Linked DNA regions of Arabidopsis thaliana. The protein of the gene in region 1 interacts with the protein of each later gene in a pairwise test. Each region holds a gene or a part of one and is shown on either strand. Other genes may lie near its edges.

What was found. Proteins that work in one complex are often made in the same cells at the same time.
Region 2: the proteins of AT4G10600 (region 1) and FBH2 interact in a two-hybrid assay, tested with the Arabidopsis thaliana proteins (one large-scale study listed by BioGRID).

What each region holds. Positions count from the first base shown.
Region 1 is NC_003075.7:6,546,681-6,550,498, reverse strand, and holds AT4G10600 (RING/FYVE/PHD zinc finger superfamily protein), read left to right. Parts: upstream 1-1,620; 5' UTR 1,621-1,851; coding exon 1,852-2,565; 3' UTR 2,566-2,658; exon of another isoform or gene 2,659-2,830; intron 2,831-2,933; 3' UTR 2,934-3,264; downstream 3,265-3,818.
Region 2 is NC_003075.7:5,845,500-5,850,312, forward strand, and holds FBH2 (basic helix-loop-helix (bHLH) DNA-binding superfamily protein), read left to right. Parts: upstream 1-1,812; 5' UTR 1,813-2,013; coding exon 2,014-2,466; intron 2,467-2,958; coding exon 2,959-3,105; intron 3,106-3,309; coding exon 3,310-3,375; intron 3,376-3,745; coding exon 3,746-3,814; intron 3,815-3,947; coding exon 3,948-4,001; 3' UTR 4,002-4,264; downstream 4,265-4,813.

The sequences.
Region 1 (3,818 bases):
CGGATTAAGACTTTGATAATCTATAAATACTTGAGTTGACTTATAATTATCATGATAAAGTTGAGCGGTGGTAGTTCAAAGAATTTTTAGTCTCAATCCATATAAGAAAGGATAGGAACAGAATGCATTGATCCATTAAAGGAATGTCAAAAAATTTCAATATCACTACATTTAAGGAATGTCAAACTTCTTCTAACTACTTTTTTAACTACCAAAATCTGAACAATTATCAGTTTCAAAATCAATCTCCTAACAATCCCCAATTTATGAAGGCTTATAGCAAAAATAAAGACTTGTTTTAATTAATTTGGACACAAAAACCCCATCTTTTTAAATTAAACTTTTGCTATCATCCTTCATAAACTCTTGTTTATTTTTTATCCGTCTTTTTAGTGAAATAGATCATAATAATATCATTTTAACTCCCAAAATTTTTCTAATTACCTTTTTAACTACCCAACATCAATCTCCTAACCATCAACATAATATAACAAATTATGGTTATCCACCAAATTTCTTTATATCGTCAACTGTTCCAAACTATCCTTCATATTTTAAAATATTTAATTTTTACTTATTTTAATTTTATTTGATATTAATTGTAATTAATTAATCACAAAAAACATAAACATAATTAAAATAAAAAATATAAAATAATGGTAGGGTAATGTGTTGTAATTTTATTAAACAAAACTATTGTAGTAAGTAAAAATTATGTAGGTATTGAATTATAATGTGGAGTGTTGAAAAGAGAAAAGTGGACATTGTAACCATGTAACTAATGTAGATAGTCTAACAGGTACACTAGTTGTACATGTTATTTTATCAACAATAGTTCTCTTCCTACTAATTAGAACAATTCAAGTCTAGTATCCATATATTATAATATAACATCTTACTAGTGCATGGGTTATTCAAAGATTCAATGATCATACAAAACATAAATCTACAAACTAAAATTCCCAAATAAAAATCATAAATCAAAGCCATCTCATTGAAGTTTCAGCTTTAACAAACACAAAATTAGCATAAAAACGATCAAAGAAAAAAACCTAAAAATCAAAACTTCAACTTCCAATATCTCTATTCCAATATCTTTCCTTCGATTTTTCTGTATGTCTTCCAAATTCTTTTTGTTTCCCTAATTGCTCAAGAAGTAATATCTTCGTCATTCTGTTTTTATTCAAGGTACATAGAAAGATTGATCCTAGACTACATCAAATTGGGTGTAGTCAGTGATATAGCTTCCCCGAAGTTAGCGGTTTTCGAAATCTTTTTGAAGCGGTTTCATATGATCGACCCAGAAGATTTTGGTACTACGACGTGACGAGTGGTTTTCAGAAGAACACATCTTCTACACGTGTCTTTAGGCTAAATTATACGTGCAAATATTTTTGCTAACTTCATTATGATTTAGTTATTTGACCGTTAATTTCCGCTTGTATTCCTCTTTGAGCTTGACCATTCTGTTTTTTATCTGCTTTTGGTTTTTAAATGAAATCGTTTGGTCCGTCCACAAAAAAAAAACAGTACCTATCCTCTAAGCCCGGCCCATCCCGGCCCATCCCGGCCCATCCCGGCCCATCCCGGCCCATACCGGCCCATATTTTAGTAATTATGGTTCCTATCTTCGTCTTCTTCGTTCAGAAATGGGAAGCGAGAACCATAGATTTACGTCAAGATAGCTTTTTTTCTATCAAGAATCGCAAAGCTATTTCGCGTAACATTACAATCGTCGTTCAGAAGAAACGAATTGGGTTTGACAAAGCTTCGATATTCAGGGAGATTTCTGGGTTAATTTGTGAAAGAATCAGAGAAATTTAGAGTTTTTTTTTTGGGGGTAAATTTGAGATGAAGCCACACGAAGATTGGGTTTATGAATCATGGACAGTAGATTGTGTTTGTGGTGTGAATTTTGATGATGGTAAAGAGATGGTTGATTGTGATGAATGTGGTGTTTGGGTTCATACATGGTGTTCTCGTTATGTTAAAGGTGATGATTTGTTTGTTTGCCACAAGTGTAAGATAAAAAACAATGAAGATGAATTGTCCAAGTTATCGGTTACTAAATCGTTGAGAATGGAGAATTTATGTACGCAGAGTAGTGAGAGTGTTGTATTGAAGGCTTGTTCAGAGATACCAATTGAAGAAAGGGTTCATGTACAAGGAGTTCCTGGTGGTGATTTGGGTTTGTTTGAATGTGTTTCTTCGGTTTTTAGTCGGCAGTTATGGAAGTGTAGTGGTTATGTGCCTAAGAAGTTTAGGTTTCAGTGTAGGGAGTTTCCTTGTTGGGATGAGAAGGAGAATGTGTGTGATGTTGTTGGGGATGAAGATGATAGTAATCTTGCTGGTGTTTTGTTGTCTATGTCGAAAGAAAACGGTGTGGATGGTAAGGGAGACAATGCTAGGAATTGTGGTTCTAGAGAAATTGAGAGTGATGTAGAGAAAGAGAAGAGCTTGCTTTGTGATCCTTTGAGTATATATAAGAGGAGAAACGAGTCGGTGGGTGGTTTTGAAGATGGGGTAAAGAAGAAGGTTAAAGTTGCTGATAAAGAGGAAGAATAATGATGTAAGAAGGCTTTGATTTGGATACAGAAGAGGCATTATGTGTTACACAACCAACATTTCTTATTTTAATAGATTTCTTACACAAGAATGGTAAGGTTTATAACTTTGTCACTAGTTTAGATTCTTAACCTTATATTCAGATATAACCACAATGGTTCATGGTTTCATTTGTCTTTGCAATCAACTAACAGTTGTAGGATACTTAACATCCACATAATATGCAATAAAAAGTGTAAATTCTTTCCATTGATGATAAACTCGATTGCTTGGTTTATAAGTTTGTGTAGGTCAAATTAGGAGCAAGAAAGGCTTGTTTTATCTTGATGATTAACTCAATCTTAGTCATTCATGTGAGCGGTTCGCAGTTTCAGGATTAGTAGGCGCTCAAAATCTTGAAGGCTTCGCGGACTCTCCTCGCCCTCCGTCCTTCCATAGATGAAGTTGAATTCTCTGACAATTCTCACCATGAACAATTTTAGGTGATTTCAAATAGATAAGAAAGCTCTTGTTGGAAGGCAGTGCACTAAAGGGTCCTGATATCCTACTTGTATTCCAAAAAACTCTTCTCTTGAATATGAAAGGCTGCAAAGCGTTGGTGCGACTTCCAAATTGTTTCCGGAACTTACGGAGTATATGCAGAATTTTGTGCTTTATGGAACAAGAATAAACTTGAAATGCCAAAGTTATTGCATTGCATTGAGTCTGTTTTATGCTTAAGTGCAACTGTGCAAGCTAACATCAGCCATCTGATATGGCTTTACTTCAAGAATCGCTAGAAGCTCAAATCTTAAGTGCCACATGGTTTATGTTTGATGTTTTGTGTCGCTTGGTAGGCACATATTTAGTGGCCATTGTTGTAGGATCCAAATCGCTAAGTAAAAGAAAAGTCTCAATTCTATATGAAACTCATGTAAATCCATTAAAACTCATTGGAGAAAAGCCCTTAATTATCCATATAAGCCCGTAACGAGAGAGTAAACCTAAAATTTCGTTAGACAAAAAGAAAACCCTAGCCGATTAATATCCTTATAAATAGATAGGTAGTCTCCTTAATTTTCTCCTTAGTCAAAATCTTAGAGAGAGTCCGAGGAAACCCTAGCCACCGTCGTTGCCGTAACTCGTTCGCCTGAGGATAATGATCAATTGGGTTTATGCTAGAGTTAAATCGGGTCTTGAAAAGAGAAGGAAGTTGCATGCGACTCCTTTATCTCCTCAGCACCCTATCCAACTCTAACTTCAACCCAATCGAT
Region 2 (4,813 bases), 700 kb from region 1:
TTAAAATATTTACAAGGGATTTTAAAAGAGTTTTAAAAGATTTACAAGGTATTTTAAAAGGGTTTTAAAATATTTACAAGGGATTTTAAAGGGCTTTAAAAGATTTACAAAGGTTTTTTAAAGATTTTTAAATGGTTTAAAAGTGTTTTAAAAGATTTACAAGGTATTTTAAAAGGATTTCAAAAGATTTACAAGAGATTTTTAAAGATGTACAAGTGTTTTTAAAAGATATTTAAAGAATTTACAAGAAGACCCTTTAAAAACTCTTGTAAATATTTTAAAATCTTTTAAAATCTCTTATAAATCTCTTAAAATACTTTTAAAATCTCTTGTAAATTTTTTAAAACCCTTTTAAAATCCCTTGTAAATATTTTAAAACCCTTTTAAAATCTCTTGAAAATATATTTTTTCCCAAAACAATTTTACAAGGATTTGCATAATCATTTTTTTGGCGGGATTTTTCTTTTTGGTGGGAAAAAAGTTTGCCAGAAAATTTTTTTGGCGAGAAAAATAAATTTTTGGTGCAAAAATTTGGTGGGAAAATTTCAGTTTCTAATTACATGTTCCTATTAGATGAGGATAATTTGGTCATTCTGTTCAAGGGAAATGGTATTTTTAAAAAAGGACAACATAAAAAGATATTGTTGCAAAAGGGTAGTAAAAAAAGAGTAGTTTTGCAAATCTCCCAAAATTCTGTAAGGGTTTAGGTTTAATATTATTTAATTATAATTATATTGCTTCCTTTTTTATAAGTTTAAATTTAATATTTGTTATTTTCGTTTTTTATTTTAAATTTTAAAATGGAAAGTAATTATTATTTTTAAAAATGTTAATTAATTAGATGTTAAATATGTTAATTATTGATGTGACAGCTTCCGATTAGTTGTTTTAAAAAATGTTAAATAATTAAATGCTAAATATGTTAATTATTGATGTGGCAGCTTTCGATTGGTCGTTCTAAATCCTATGTGGACGGCTTTAGAAGCAAATAGCCTCAACTTTTATATAGTATAGATTTTCAGTTTTTGGTGTTCAATTTTTCGATCACCGGTTTTGATGAGATTGAAAAACTCTGTGGGAATTTTTTATGGCCGGGCAACCCGAACACCACACGAGTTGTAAAAGTGCTTTCAAATTATTTTATTTATTTTATAAACATTTAAATCTTAAAAATAATATATGAGAATTAAAATTAATAAATAAAATTTTAACCATAAATTAAAAACGAAAGTAACAAAAAAAATTTAAAAAATGAAGTAATTTTTTTTTAAGATTGTAATATTTTTTTTAATAGGATGGTTTTTTATTCTTTACTTTTTTTCACCAGCGACCATTTTATTAAGTTAGGAGAACTAATCCGGAGTCGATGTACTTACATGAAAAAGAAAAAAAACTTCGTGTTCTTATATTTTTTGTTAGGCAATCAACACAGACATTGTTACAACAGAGAATAACTCTAATATAAAATAAAGACAAAAAATTTCAAAAGCTTTTTTAAAATATTGTAATTCTTCAAAAGCTTTTAAAATGTTGTAATTCTACAAAGCAGCTCAACTAAATAAAAGTTGCATTTTGCAGACATACGAAGTCGCTAATTTTTCACATATCGGAATTGGACCGAGAAGGTGGAAACTACGCGCCTCCATCGAGAGTGGTGTAAACCATAATCTATTACATAAAAAAAAAGATAACAAAAGAGACGTTAAAGCAATGTTTCTCTGTTACGCGCTGACGCATCTCTAACCTTTTTAGGTTCTGTACTATCTTTATCTTTTAGTCAAGTGTTAGAAAAGTATCTTAATCAGACGGTTAGGGTTCTTTATTATTACTAGCCGCAATTTTTTTATTGAAACAAATAAATAAAAAAATAACCCAAGAACAACAACAATCTGGTCTGCTGATGTATTAATTAAAGAAAAAAATAAAACAGAGCAAGAAACAAAAAAAAAAATGTAAAGAAAGAGAAAAAAAGCTTTCGTAGTGTCTATTGAAACCAGAGAAAAGCCAAAGGGGATGCAACCAACATCCGTCGGTAGTAGCGGCGGTGGTGACGACGGAGGAGGCAGAGGAGGAGGAGGAGGGCTAAGTAGAAGTGGACTATCTCGGATCCGTTCAGCTCCAGCGACTTGGCTTGAAGCTTTACTTGAGGAAGATGAAGAAGAGTCTTTGAAACCTAATCTTGGTCTCACCGATTTGCTTACCGGGAACTCGAACGATTTACCGACAAGTCGCGGCTCGTTCGAGTTCCCGATTCCTGTTGAGCAAGGGTTGTATCAACAAGGTGGGTTTCACCGACAGAATAGTACTCCGGCGGATTTTCTTAGTGGTTCTGATGGATTTATCCAAAGCTTTGGGATTCAGGCGAATTACGATTACTTATCGGGGAATATCGATGTTTCTCCGGGAAGTAAGCGGTCTAGAGAAATGGAAGCACTCTTCTCTTCTCCTGAGTTTACTTCTCAAATGGTAAACCAAAATTAGTTCTTAAATTAGGGTTTTCTTATACTTGCCAAAAATAGGATGAACTTAACTGACTTATTACTTGTTTTAGTTAATTTGCTGACCAAGTTCTCGAGATTGAAAAGACCAGTCTTGTCTTAAAATTGACAACTTGTGTTTTTCTGAACCAAACTAAGCAAGTTGCAGTTTCTATTTTAACTCAAAAAAAAAAAAATGGCAGTTTTTGTTGTTGGCTCTGTGGCTTTAATGTGTCAATGTGAACATTAAAGAATGCTCCTATGGGTAAAGTGTTTAGAAGACCATAAGTCCACATGATGATACATACTTCGGTGGTTAATGTGTACAAATGTATTGATTCTCCACACCTTTTGGTACATTGGTCTACTTAGTATTAAGTAACTACACTTGATCAAAATTTTGGGAACATATGTGTTACCTATGTGTTGATTAAGGTATTAGTGCTGATTTGCGCTTTTTGGAATTTTTTTCTGTAAGTAGAAAGGAGAGCAAAGCAGCGGTCAAGTTCCTACCGGAGTATCAAGCATGTCGGATATGAACATGGAGAACCTTATGGAGGACTCTGTTGCTTTTAGGGTTCGGGCTAAACGTGGTTGCGCAACTCATCCCCGCAGCATTGCCGAGAGGGTAAACAACATTCAATCTTTATTTTCAATGTTTTGGAAGTGTAGTGATCAAGGTTCTCTTAACTTTATACATTGAAGTTTAGTGATACAACTTATATCTTTACTTTCAATTTACGGATGTTTAATGATGCACTGTATGCTTCATTGAACAGAGGATTGTTCTGTTCTGGTCAGTGTATATTTATCTTTACCTTTCATTGTGTAGGTACGAAGGACGCGGATTAGTGATCGGATAAGGAAGCTACAAGAGCTTGTACCTAACATGGACAAGGTAATATAATTTTCAGCTTAGGTATAATCTGATGACCTCGGTTACACAATTATATTGACTAGAAATAGGTCAAAGATTATCTATGCTTAAATCAAGTGTAGAAGTTAGAGGTCAAATTAAATATGACTGTTAATGGTTGTGATGCAACTTCAGAGACACGGTTCTCAGCTCTGTAACTAAGTAATTCACAAACTGTGGAATGGATCTTGATATGGACTTGAATTGTTGTCACCTCGATCAAATAAGTATGAACTTGGTTTCCTCTCTATAGATTATGAACAAACTGAGGAAAACTTTTGGTTTTGGTATATATGGAGATTTGGAATCTAGGCTTTGAGTATATCGGTTAACTTTTTTGTCTTTGTTGCAGCAAACCAACACTGCAGACATGTTAGAAGAAGCAGTAGAATACGTGAAAGTTCTTCAAAGGCAGATCCAGGTAAATTATCTAAGTTAATATATATACACACAAAACCTTTTAGAGGAACCCAATAGATGAATTAAAAATGATTAGTCAACAGTATATAGTAAAAAGAGTTATGAGTTGGTTTATTTTGGTGTGGATAATATAGGAGTTAACAGAAGAACAGAAGAGGTGCACATGCATACCTAAGGAAGAACAATAAGGTTTGCTCCTGATTTGTTTTATATTTGCTTAACGGCAATGATCTGATCGAAAAATTCGAAAGATGATCTTAGCTTGAATTTAGATGGATGTCATGTTGAAAAGTATATTATTTGATAAATGGATGTAGGTGTAATATAAAATTTTTGTACAATAATGAAGAAAGTTAAAAAGAATTAATGAAAACATATATTCTTTATGATATTAGTGAAATGACTTTGATTTCATGTTGTTTGATTATAGTAAAGTATTTTCAAGATGTGTATTACAGTGTTTTTAAAACTCATTCATACAGTTACAGCTAACATACTAGATTACTAACCATCATGGAATAAGATTGCTTAGTGGTGCAACCAATCCGCAACGAGTTTGCAAACGAGGACAGAATTGCTCGATGTTTTGTCGAACCGGCAAGATAATCGGGTCTTTGTTTATTGCAGTGTAGATTAAATCTTATAGCGAAAAAGGGTTAATCATCTTACTAAATCCGCTGCAATCAGTTTCGAAATAAATCATTCCGCATACCGCGCTACCAAAAGTAGTGTAGTGTCAGGAGTTCTTAGTGTAAAGACATGAAATATATTTGAAATCCTTTCAAACCAATTAGATGAATCTGGTTGAAGCCATCAAATTAAAACCAAACTGGCTGCACATTTTTGTTTTGGTTTTCCATGAACCATCAACTTGAAAACAAAGAACAAGGGAGTTCAAAACATAGAAGGGATGATAAGCTCTGGAACGACTCCCATGCCTTCACCAATGTACTCTGCTACACCTAATCTTGGACTCGCATCCACGCTTTGAGTTCATCTC